Daphnia pulex: one gene and its partner. The protein of the gene in region 2 interacts with the protein of the main gene of each other region in a pairwise test. Links are inferred from orthologs where the notes say so. Each region holds a gene or a part of one and is shown on either strand. Other genes may lie near its edges. The genes, in order: uncharacterized protein LOC124190201 and hexokinase type 2-like.

Evidence for each region.
Region 1: the proteins of hexokinase type 2-like (region 2) and uncharacterized protein LOC124190201 interact in a two-hybrid assay, tested with the Caenorhabditis elegans proteins (2 studies listed by BioGRID). The link is inferred for Daphnia pulex from reciprocal best matches to the Caenorhabditis elegans genes hxk-1 and ZK829.7.

What each region holds. Positions count from the first base shown.
Region 1 is NC_060019.1:10,428,839-10,435,630, reverse strand, and holds the start of uncharacterized protein LOC124190201, read right to left. Parts: upstream 4,090-6,792; 5' UTR 2,918-4,089; coding exon 2,886-2,917; intron 2,712-2,885; coding exon 2,552-2,711; intron 2,478-2,551; coding exon 2,227-2,477; intron 2,160-2,226; coding exon 1,764-2,159; intron 1,693-1,763; coding exon 1,392-1,692; intron 1,327-1,391; coding exon 1,207-1,326; 3' UTR 1-1,206. Other genes in the region: uncharacterized protein LOC124190200, read right to left, coding at 6,500-6,640, 6,717-6,792.
Region 2 is NC_060018.1:5,020,544-5,027,009, reverse strand, and holds the start of hexokinase type 2-like, read right to left. Parts: upstream 4,035-6,466; 5' UTR 3,048-4,034; coding exon 2,958-3,047; intron 2,482-2,957; coding exon 2,319-2,481; intron 1,808-2,318; coding exon 1,722-1,807; intron 1,651-1,721; coding exon 1,597-1,650; intron 1,531-1,596; coding exon 1,336-1,530; intron 1,259-1,335; coding exon 945-1,258; intron 858-944; coding exon 702-857; intron 632-701; coding exon 355-631; intron 41-354; coding exon 1-40.

The DNA of each region.
Region 1 (6,792 bases), on a different chromosome or scaffold from region 2:
TGACAAAAATTTTGTTTTAATAATTGCAAAGAATCGGAAAGAATAAAACAAGAACAATGGAGTGCCGGTGGTCGACACGACTCTCTCTAGGACAGGGGGGGGGGGGGAGAGAAGGGCAACATCAGTTAACAAAATCAGAATTAAATTGTCTAGTTGTATCATTCACCGGTGTGTGCTTTTCTCTAATCGATTACATCCTACCATCTCAGACTTTCAGACTGTTATTGTTTTTGTTTCAATTTTAACTAAAATTTTCACTCTGGTCGACGCTTTATCTATCGAGCCGAATTTCGATCAACGTCTCTCTACTTGAGATCCCCAAAAACAGAAAAGAATTTTGAAAAATAAAATCAAAATAAAAAGAAATCAAAGAGTTCCATCTCCTCTAGACACTATACGCAATCACCCGCGTAAACCGAGTTTCTCTCAATTGAATCGTTGCTTGAATGACGATGGAATTAAACGAAATAATTGAATTGCAACCATTGTAAAGTAAATACACTAAAATGAATCAAATGGAACAGTTGCCACAGCAAAGAGCGAAGACAAATCCCAAGGAATTGCCTTTTCCCTAGAAAAAGACAAATTGGTTTGTCTTTTGATTCCCTTGGCTTTGACCCGCTTGCGATTTCTCGTGAGAACGCTATATTAGACCCGCACAGACAAGTCACAAGAGCAACAGTTTACGTCTCCCAAGTGTATAGTCCCTGACTCTGGTACATACGGGCTTTAGTCTAAATAGTATATGGGTAAGAACGGTAAGAGATATACTGTAAAACGGTAGTTATAGAGAAAAGATTCAATTCAACTGCCATGATTGCTAATGTCTTCCTGCCTATTTACTAAACAATGAAAAGAATTTGTCACTGAGTTGATGGAGTAATTAAGAGGTTGAATGGGAGTGCACTTTGACGGATCGAGCCAGAGCTCTTCATTCGGTAATACAACCGAACAAAAAACAAACAACAGAATGTTGATTAGAAGGAATTGACAGAAAAGTCGCAACTGGAACGCAAAATCAAATTATGTGGGCCATAATAATGGAAAAAGAAAAAATAATAATAATTAAAAAAAATGTGCTGGGTATTACACGGATGCTGTTTCACCCTCCAGTCAACTGTGCGGATATTTTACAACCCCCTACACGCCATATTTTTTTTTCGTTAATTTATCTTATTTAAATCTTTGTTTTCCTTTTTCTTTTTTTTACTGAGCTGAGGAATGGAATTGCAAAATGGCCCTGCCGGGAATTTCAGATTTGCACAGTTTGTTGATCACGTCAGAAGCCTCTTCAGCTGGGAAAACGCTGTGCGGTGGAGGTTTAACCTGAAAATGAGAAATTAAATTTTTTGAAACACATTTCCTTTTCAGATATCAAAGTTGATAAATACCTTGCCGGAGTGAACAAGGTCAACCAGCTCTTTGAGCTGTTGCACAGATCCCGTTTCGACGGGTTCAATGGTGATGCCGTATTCGACGGCCTTGCGCGAGAATTTGGGTAAAAGTCGATCAGCTGTTTCATGGCCGAGAAAAACTACGCCGCCCTTGTGTAGACATTGGATTGATCGGTTGAGGCTGCGCGAAGTTGTGCCAAAATCGATGACGACGTCAACCTGACCATGGCAGGCATCTTTGGTCCTTTCAATGAGAATGCGCTCGTAAAGCTCCTCATTCCATTGGATAACATCCACCCTAAAACAAGCAAGGACAACATTATAGGATTACTTCCACGTGGCGTCACTTAATCAGCTTCTGCAACATACTTTCCAGATTCCTGAGCCAAGCAAAATCCTTCATCACGAAGGCAGGCCACGGCAATATGGACGCGGTGTTGTTTCTCGCTGAAGTAAAATCGAGCAAGACGCAAAGCCCAAAGAGCCAGGCCACCGGTACCGACGACCAGAATGTGGCACATTCCTGTTTGGCAAAAAAGCAAAAAGAACGAAATGAGTATTCTGTCAACGTGATTGATGAATGTTGTGTCATTACCCTCGGGTCCTTTCTCTTCAGAGATGCGTCGAACAACGCTCTCGGCCTTCTGGACGGTGTTGAGAGCCCACAGGGCGCCAGATGGTAGCATGGCAGCTACGGACAACGACATATTGTCTGGGATCTTGACCAGGAATTCAATTTCCGGTACACTCATATATTCAGCATAGCTATTATGAGAAAATGGAAACATGTAAAGCAAGGTGTTGGTAGAAAAAAGTCGAAATGACTGATTACCCTGGAGGACATTCATCAAATGGGTAGACAATGACATGATCACCAACTTTAACTCCACAGCTGGGGTCGACCTCTTCACCGATAGATTCTACTACTCCAGCCACTTCATAGCCTGGATAGAAGGAAGAGTCACGAAGTCCTCGATGAGAGGCACTGGTGGTGCATCCACTGTCACTGCCCATCGAGCAAGTACTGGAAGTGCTGGAAACACTGGCAGACCTCTGCCGGTAACAAGCTCCAGCACACATCACCTATTAAGTAAGAACAAAAACATTTAATAAAAGAAGATGAAAGAAGTGCAAGAACAAAGGAAGGTACGACGTACTTTAACTCGAGCTCCCAAGGCTGGCACATCAGGCACCATGACGTCATATTGGAAGACGTATTCCTTGCTCATACCGACCGTGGCCGGGCTCTCGATGCTAACCTGCTTGCACACTCTGTTCATTCTTGATGAAGGAATTGTTGGGGGATATTTCGACAACCTACAAAAAGAACAAAGAAGCCATCAATAAGAATTGCTGCTTTCGGTATTGCGCATTTGTCAAATACAAGTTTTAGTCTGCTTGGATTGATCGAAAAGCCAAAATATCGATTTTCTCTAAGCCTGTGCAGCTACTACCCAACAAAAACCAAAACAAAACAAAAGAAGTTTTAACCTGTCGTCGGGGATGAGACACTCGACGGGCATTTTTGCACAATTTTTTGTTTTTAACGAAATCTATATTGAAATTCTTTTTTATCAAGAATGTAATACCAGAATGAAATATCGTCCACACAATCGCAAGAGAACAAAAGGCAATTAATTTCGAAACTTGAATACGCTGGACAAGAGACAGAGAGACACACTGCGTTCCGTCAGATTTTACAGAGAATAATGGTTGGCGTGAACGAGCTGAAGGTTGGCTTTATGTGGTCGGGCGGGAGGAGTGGCGTCGTGAGTCGGCGCAACTGCGTGACGTTTTATCTGCGACGCCAGCGACCAATAGCCAGGTCGGGAAGTGGGGGGCCCCACAATCACGAAGCGAGCACACTGAGAACACGTGGACAGTAGTTCCGTCATAGGAGCAAAGAGAACACCAGCAGCACCAAGGAGTTCTTGATGTACGTCCTCGGCCCCGTGAAAATCGATGCCGGTCTCTCTCTCTCTCATGCAGAGAAAGGCGAAAGCTACCCTACCTCCATTGACTCTATTGCGCAAAATTGCGCAAAAAAAAAGAAGTGTACCAGTTCGTTCGGTGCCATAATGGCAAAAGCTTTGGGTTTTTCTCTTCTTGTCTTTTTTTGAAAATGTAACAAACTTGTTTTTGTTTTTATAATTAGCAAATATGGTAAGGGCATTATCAAGGTACAGGTGTACTAATAATTTAAAATTCAGCTCAGACGTTCTCTGCTGGACGTAAACAACTCCATATACGGTTCACATCCAAAATGGCAGTGTGACGAAAAGAGGCACGAAAAGGGTCAAGTCCCAGCCAGACGATATACTCGAAAATATCGATACAGAAATACAAAGTTGTTGACGATATAACTAGTCCCGAAAAAAAAACGAACCCATTCAACTGAAACAAACATCGAAAGACCTTCAGGAAAAATAAAATGGCTTCGCGTTCGGGATTTTCGGACATTTGGTCAACAACACAACATTTGTATGCTCTTCATAACATTGTATACTATTTTAAAAATTAAACAATTCAAAATATATCGGTGACGCAAAGGTTGATCTAATTCTATTCTTTTTGCTACCTTCGTTATCTTCCCACAAACAATGTTTATCTGTGCCAAAGATTAGGATTCAAACCACCAAAACAATAATAACCCATGGTCTAAAACAAACAACAATGTTTATCACGTACGCATTTCGAAAACAGTTCCTCTTATTTTTGCAATAGTATTAGAATTTTAAACTACTGCGCAGTATAGTGGTCGAGACCATTGGTGTCTTGTTTTGTTGTCCAACTCTCAAGTCTTGAAAAATTCTCTCATTTCATTTTCTCTTCTCCATATTGGGGAATGTGACCAAAAAGAATCCAGTAGCCTTCGCCGGTCAAGTCCAGTTCAACAAACAAACATGACGTCATACGAATTATTTTTTTTTTTACATAACAAAAGAATAAGAGGATGTCAGTTAACTGATTCCTCGTTTCCGTTGTAAATTTACTCAAAACATCGGAATGACCGTACACCCACGTACGATGGGGAAACAGATCAACGTGCAATTTACTAACACACTATTCGCTATTGAGGACTCGTTTTATTTACGAAAAGGAAATGCGAGATCTGGCAGGGCCGGCCGGTGTGTGTGTGTGTGTCTGTGTCCTAGAACTCTCCCGATACATTTTCACGCAGCGCAGCACGACTCGAGCACGTGATCGGCTCACCACCACACCCCCGGCTACTCCCTCCACCTCGTCTCTTTGGTCTCGTTAAGCGACAAAGAAATTAATGTCTTTCTTCTTTCTTAATGGCTTAACTAATTAATTTACACCGTCTTCGTATTACAGAGGATTTCATCGACTTGTTATGATTTTAGATACGAAGCGGAAACGATCAACATTTCGGCCACATTGAAAATGGATACACCCAACAGTCCTCAATTTCCTTGGTCTTTTTCTTTTAAACGAGATCGTTCTAAGGTGTGTCTTGTTACAGAAAAATAGACTATTAAACGACGTCCAATGTTCAGGACGTTGTGGTTTGGGAACAAACAACAACACAATTAGTTAAATGAATCGTTTCAAGGTTATTTCTTCGTCTGGTTGCTATTAGATTTGTTAAATTTAAGGAAGTTTTAGGTACAAGAGAAAAACAACGAGATTACCTGCTACTTTATTCAGCTGCTGCTCGAAGCGATAACAAGACAAAAACTGGTTTTCGTGAAAGCACACGCAACAAACTATTTGCATGAAAACGTTGGAGAGATTCTGTTCGACAAAGCCTGAAGCTCAACTGCTGCAAGCTACAGTGGTACGTGATCTGTGCTGTTGTTGTGAAAACTTGTCGACCCATAGAACCGGAGAGAATCGAACTCGTTTGTCTGCTAGTTTTCACCCAGCGCTCCATGCGGCTGGAATTCACAACATGATCACAATCGACTCAGCAAATGGAAGAAATGGGGAAATTTTGAAGCTCCGGATACAAGGCACCGCCACCAGTGCACTGAAAAATACTAGTTCTTTTGGCCATATGTCTTTCCAATCTATACATCTTCCAAAATATGGCCGATGACCGCATTCGGGAAGTCAAGATAAATCTTAAACGATTACGTTATTTCCATAAACACAAATTGTATTTTTTTATAAACGAGCGTTGAAATATTATTAGAAGATAATAAAATTACCGATAGGAATGTATTTTGAGAGTTCTAACAATTGTTTGCACAAACTAGTTTCACATTTGACTAAATAGGTAAGGCTTTGCGATTTAAATTCAGAAATTCGCTAAAATTTAAGGTTAGAATATCTCGAGAAATTTCTGCGATGTGACAATACTATTCTAATCAATTTTACGATTTAAAATTTGACTTTCTGTAAATAGATCACTTGATAACAAATGAAAACAATGGTTTCAGCGCTACCATCTAGCGGCCAAGATTCAAATCTAGAAAACGCAATCCGATCTGTCGAGCTGAGCGCGCGAATAAATTTGAACATCAATTTGCAAAATGGTACGGAATTCGAATGCTGTAATCTCAGTTTTTGAGGGACAGCGCTGTTCATTTGATAGCAGCAGTAGATTGATTGAAACTCAATTAAATCCACATCAAGATGAAACTCATAGCTCAACGGATATCCCCATTTGCATGACACCGGAAATTGAATAATAATGACGAAACGGATAATGGCTTTAAAACAGTATGTTTGTATTATTCATTAATTAATAGGGCAATCTGGAAAGAAACAGAACATTACGATAAAATTATGATTCGAAACACAGTATATGAAGCGAGAAACTTTGAAAATAAATGGCGGCAACAAGCATTCTGTTACATAAGGCACGCCGTCGGAATGTGTTCTTGTTTTTTTTTTTCCAATCGACAAACAAGAAGCAGCATCATCGCACTATTTTTAAGTTGAGAAATGGCGTTTTTGTAATGTAGCGATGATCCCTATTATCGGAAGGAATTATGGAAGGAATGGACATTTGGACCATTGAACGTGTAAACAAAAAAAAACATAAATGGTACAAATAAAAAATTAAAGAAAAACCCCAAAAATTACATCAATTCCTCATGTGATTGCGTGATTTTCTCTAAATGGACGGGGGAAATAAATTATTTCCGAGAAGTTTTGGCTTTGACGGGCGTCTGGAGAACAGTGGGGCACGTGTCGATCACTTTCAATAACAGACTGTCTATATAGTCTTTTAGATCCGAAATTTCATTATCACGATCTTCCAGCAAACCAATCAAACCCTGCAAAAGAAACCAGAACCAGACGGACGTTATTACGTACGCATTGATTAACGGAAACCAAACAAAATTTCCTCACCTCTCGGGATTTTTCCTGGTAAACCCGCAATCGATCCTCGGATGTAGACGAGTCACGCGGTGTACGGTGATGATCG
Region 2 (6,466 bases):
CACCTCGACCACTTCCATCCTCCGACAACATCAAATCGAACTGCAATTATTCAAAAATAAAGAAACAATTATTAAAACAGGAATTATGTTGTTTTTAAAAATAAAATGAAAAATGAAAAACAACAAGTCTCTGCTGTCTATCGCTAGAGAGCGTCACTGACAAGGAAAGAAAATGATTTGTTTTGTTTTTAAAAAACAAAAAATTGACAGGTTTTTCCTTGTTTTCGTCTCTTGTTTTATCGAAGAGTTCATCAACTCGGAAGATTGTTTTTTCTCTTCATTTCCAAGTTGATGATGGGGAAAAATTGATAGTGACTTTGTTATTGTGAGCCTGCGGAGGAGAGACTGACTCACCGTTAGTCCGGGATTGATGAGCTGTCGGATCTTTTCAACCATCAGATCATGGAAGTGAGGGTGGAAGCGATAAAGGGAGCCATCAACGGCCACCGTCACGTGCTTTTGACCCATCTTGTTGAGAAGACAAGCCACGGCTGCAGCGGCGATGTGGGCCGCCCGTCGAGAAACGGCCTCGCAAATGTAGCGCACGTTGGCGCAATCTTCGTCCGAGGCATCTTCGTAGCCCAACTCTTCCAGCACCTGACGACAGCACGTGTATTCACCCTTCTTGTCACTGAAGTAAAAAACAAAACAAATTAATTTGTAAGTCATAACAATAAATCAAAGTGTCCAAACCAACGCACCTCTCGATTTCAGAGACGTATTTCGTAAAGAACTGGCCCGGTTCGAATAACACTTCTGGGCCCATGCCATCAAAGAGAAGTCCTTCTCGTGTCAACTGGGCTAAAACGAGACGAGTCACTTCACCCATGTACATTCCCGAGATCATTTTCTCAAATCTGGAACAGAAAAATAGAAAGACGAGAGAGAACTTGGTCAAGTATCAGGGGCGACGGACGAATTGAATGTGAGCGTGAGTAGCGTACAATTGCCGTCCAGGGTTGAGTGAATGCTGGTCAATGGTCCGATCGTATTCGGTCCGGATGAATTCGAGCGTTCCGTTGTCGCCGAATGCGCCCAGCTCCGTGTTGATGACGACCTGGTTAGGTTCTTCGTAATCGCCGTCCCACAGTTGTACGTTCTCTAATCGCTCCACGTAGCACGCATTGATTCCAGTTCCGAGAATGAGACCGATCCGGCATGCCTGGTTCTTCCAGGCGCAAGCCATCAAAGTCCCGGTCGTGTCATTCAGGACGGCCATCACGTCGATCTTGATATCACCCCGACGAGCGATTGCCTCCTACCAGATTACGTATTTCATTAGCTCATTCATTGGATACAAGTCAATTGATTTTTTCTTTCTTCAATCAAACGAACCTGGAGAAGTCTGACAACATCTTCGCCTTCGACGCCTGAACACTTGAATCCTTTAGTCCAGGTGGCCAATCGGGCCTTGGTTAAACCTTCCTGGCTGCAAGGGAAACTGAAAGTGAAACCCAGGGGCAATGGCGACACGTCCACCATATGCTCGTGCATAAAAGTGGCTAAACATTCAGCGATGTGGTCGAATAACTGCACAGATGAAAAGAAATCAACATCGTCAATTATTTAAGGAATTTGAACTTTGATTTGATGTACCCCGGTTCCAGGACCAAGCATGACACTCTGGGGAACGGCAAAGATTTTCGACTCCTGCATTGACATAAAAGAAACCATTTAACGTGACGTAATCAATCGAAATTATTGACGGAATGTGAACGAACCATGTGAAAGATGTGAGGACCCAAATCGATGAGCAGAACACGAAAGTTGGTTCCGCCTAAATCCAGCGCCAGAAATTTTCCACATTCTACCGGATTGAAACGGTATTAAATTCAAAGTTGAATCAATTACGCAACGCATTGGAGTCAGTATCACGCACGGACACTGACTTGGTTTGTAGCGGCACTACTCAAGGTTAACGGGTCAGTGGCTGCATGCTGCTGCTGCCCAAGACATTACAAACTACAAGCCATGTACGGTGTGATTATTTTAGCCTTGACTTTGAATGAATTTTCGAATTGATTTCCTATTTTCACGAAAATTTAAGGGGTCTCGGAAAATGTTGCTACGCAATTTGGCAAGGTCATAAACTAGTAGACGGTGAACACGTTTCAGCCTCATGCCGAAATGGAACAAAGCCATCTCCTAAAAAATGTTGCAGACATTGACGCTATGCATACATGTAGAGATTTATTATAATGGCAAGTTGGAGAGACGCCAACTACCTTTTTTATTTTATCTTTTGTCTGATATTGCGCAACGCTTAGCGAATACCAACCGAACAAAATCCTAGACGATTAATATTTCATTTGAATTACCTTCGCCGTTGGGCAGTTCCCTGACGTAGGTGGGAAAACATTTGACGGTTGCCTCTTTATTGGTGTCCTTATTGAGTCCTCGGTTGATCTCGACCAGCAATCGTTGACACACGTCGCGTAGTTGTTCGTCCGACAAGATAAGTTCCGCGCATCGCTCTTCGATCTGTTCAATAATAAAAAAAAAGAGAAGAATGAAAAATTAAAAAAGAAACGTTTCATTTTAGCTTAGCAACTCGGCTATTTAGTGGAGTACTCGACGACTGGTTTGCTCTTTGGACTGGAAGATACGATATGACGCAATCTAATCAAAGAGATAATTCTTTCGCTAGGGAATAAATCGATCCACGTGTAGGATCAGCTTACGAACATGAGAGACCTTTGAATTTTCGACGATGGACGCCAAGATGTAAAACAAGTCATAAACTGTCAGATTGGTGGGTTCTCTCTTTTCATCACTAGCGGGAAGTCTCGACTTTGATTTCCATATGTTCGTGCTGCACACAGCCATAAGCTTTCGTATCGATGACCACCATATCCGCCCGATCTCCGTTACGCCATTTTGCCATTAGGAATCGATTTGAACTTTTTGGGATTTTTTAAACAATTTAAAAAAAAGGGTTATTAGGTGCGAACACTTACGCGTCGGGGAACGAGTCGCTGTTTGGCCCGGCTAATGCGGGCCAGCCAGCGCATCAACATGGAACGCCAGATCCTGCACTTGCCCGTCATTTCGTCCGTCAATCAAACAAAAAATCACGTGGGATCAAGTTCGCAAACTTCCACACCAAAGTGGAAGCGATTTGGGATGATGTTCGGTTGATTTCAAAGGAGACCTGGAGCACGACAGACGGCCTGACGATGACTGGTAAGTTGGCAGTTGAGATCGACGAGTTTTTAAAACGTGAAATGACACGGTTTCGTTGAGACGCATATACTATATGCTCTTCTTTCTTTCAATCCCCTTTTTACAACCAGCACGTAGGATCAGTTGACAGTTGTCCGATGATTGGCCAACCACCGTGAATCGGGCGGATTGAATTTCCCACTTTTTTATTTTATTTTATTGCTGAAGCGGTGGCAAAGTGAAGTTCTCCCTTACAGGAGTGCGCAGTCCGGCCGTATCCAAAACCGACACCTTCCAACAACTCGATCCCACTGGATGTAGGCTAATTCTAATTGTTTTTCTGGTGAAACAATAGACAAATTAAACTGTATTTTTCTTTCGAGATATGGTGGTTTGGGGAAGTTGGTGGGCTGACGTGACGTGAAGCAAAAATAAGAAGGGGCGAATCAAAGTGGCGGGGCGCGGTTTCCTGCTGACCGGGCAATATCTCCAGTGAAACTCGGCCGAGTCGTACGAAATCTGATTCTGCGCTACTCACTGGAAAAAAATTTTTCCGACTAGATACTTTATTTCACGGGGGGATGGACGAATGCCTGTCGTATTTCGATCGAGATGGTGGCAGGTCTGGCCAGGATGTTGGACGCTCTCGTTTATATATCCCGACACGTGTGCAAATGAAAATGTGCTGCCGACTGGAACCACTGGGCTGGACGTTCCGCAGAAACGACAACCTTGTCCTGCATCTTTTTTTCCCTTCCCCTGCACTGGGCATTGCCATTTCACACACACACATCCATCATCCTAAGGTGATTGCAAAGACATTTTTTCAATTAAAAAGTTTCCAGGAAACATTTCGCGAAAAGTGTAATAATGATCCTTATCCCGGATATTACAGCCCCAGGAGGAGCCAGTACTGCGCCACACTGACGAATCGACTTTTGTTTTTTCTTGTTCCAGGCCCTTCTACACACTGACAAGTTCCGCACTAGTGGAAAAAAAAGTAGCATCCGTAAATAAGGACAAAAAAAGGCCCACAAATAGGGATCGATCTTGTAACAGCCAAGGTTGCAGTGGCCAGGGAAATGCAGTAGGTAGCGCAAAAAAAAAAAAGAAAAATACCCGTTATAGATGGCTGGATCGATGGCTAAAGAACAGGCGAAGGGCAAAGCGTTGCGCCGGCTGGGAAACGGAAAATCAATAATCCAGTAAAGGTCATTGGCGGACGCCGCGCGCGCAAAAGGGCGTCATGTTCTTTTTCACGTAGACCTTCGCGAATAAAAGCAAACCAAAAATCCCAACGGTTTTCACGTCAACTTCATCTATACTTGTGTGATGATAACCTTGCGTCAGCGCCAGCCTTCGAAAACAAAAAATCCTACTTACCGCCAAATGCAATCTAACCATGTTTAGAGTATTATATGGTGGCTCCTGGATAGGTTTCAATTTGGCAACCGAGATACGAGGGGGAATTTATGATTACCCATTTTTTCCGTGGCGTAATATTCGTTAATCGAATGAAAGCTCTTTTCACGATTGCCATAGTGAATTAAGGTGTGTTTGGCGGCTGCCGGCCGTCAGCCTGGCTAGGTTTCAGTGCGCCCGTTACATGAAATCGAGTTGACGGATTGTGAAATAGATCGATAAGAGCGGTACTAGTGCCGTCATGGCGTCAATACGACGCCGAGTGACGATATGAAGTATTTGATTAATGATTCAGACACGGAAAATTGTTTTCCCATTTTCACTTGCAATGGAAAACCACAAAATTGTACAACTTTTCTGACAAAATTGGGAACACCCCATTGCGGTTGGTTGCCGAACGGGAGGCTCGTCTGACATACTGGGCGGAGTTTTGGTCAAAATTGCATCATCCATTTCTTCGCCAGCGTCCCTGACGAGTATTGACGTTCTCTTTCTCTTTATTTCTACGTCACAGACACACACACACACACTCAAGTCACACTCACACACACCAATACACAAACACGGAGTGTGTGTCAAAAAAATATTGAGGGCGCTCTAATCCATATCGTCCTAGAATACTGATGATCTCCAAGGTTTTCCCACAACTTGGCAGCCTGGCTATTTTCTAGGTAACTCCTGATTGACACAGACACTACGATGACATTTAACTAGAATTATACCTCGCTTCTGTTTGATCTGGGGTTCTCTAATTCCAATTCGGGAAGGTAGAATGAGACGGACATGGGGTCGGCTCGAATTTCCGGACGGTTGGAAGAGGTGTACTGGGGGGATTGAATGGATTTCACGGGAACTTTTTCGGCGTAACTGGGAATCGGCTAACGTCACATTGACAACTGACTATATAAAGGACATTCGATGTCGTTGTTCAGGCCATGAACCTGCCTTGCGCCGACGTCGTCGACGCAGCTCTTGGCGTCAAGAATCTGGATGAGCTCCGCCTTTGCTATCTTCGACCGGCACTCGCGTCTTTTGGGTTCGGTAAGGATCAAAATAGACGCACAAGAGAGGCAAAATGAACGAAAACAAATGCTCCCAATATTGGGGGGGTCATCGAAGCCGCTTTTGAAGGGAAAAATAACAATTCATTTGCTATAGAAACAGTGAATTGATGGCCCAGATGCTATCGGCCAGTGCGCGCGCATCCATCGAAAAACCAGTCCGCTTTTACTGGGAGGGGGTGGGCCAAAAAGGGCATTGCTTAAAATGGAACTCGACTGACGACGGTTGTTTGAATGAGAGCCTCATTATCTTTTCTTGCCACGTTCGCCACGATGATGGTACATCGTCGTCGTATATAATTATCTAGTAATCATCGCCCCATAATTTAAAGGTAACTCGAGGGTGAAATAGGGGATGTAAATAAAGCGTTTTGACGCCATCTTACGTCCAGACAGCCAACTAAACTGACCTTAATTTTCTTCACTCCCCTTTTTGATTCAGTCCACACAGACACATTCTTGTTTCGTTTTTTTTTCACGGAATCATCCCACAATTAATTCACCTCAGGCAGGGTCACATTATAGGATTCTTAAGAACTAGCCACACACGGATGAAAAGAAAAAGATTGTCCATATTCTTGACATTCATACTCGTGACGCGCTTATTAATTCGTATTAATTAATAAAACAAACTTGTAAACCTACACTTTTTTTCTCTGGCAAGAAAAAAGCACCTGCCGGGCCAGGCGATGTGTGTTTAGAATGGCAAGCGAAAAAACAAACACTGAGATGACGCAAATGCCGTTAATATCCAATGGGCAACTTCAATATTGAATTAAGAACGTAGTTAACTAATAAGCCAAATGAATTGAAAGTCGACT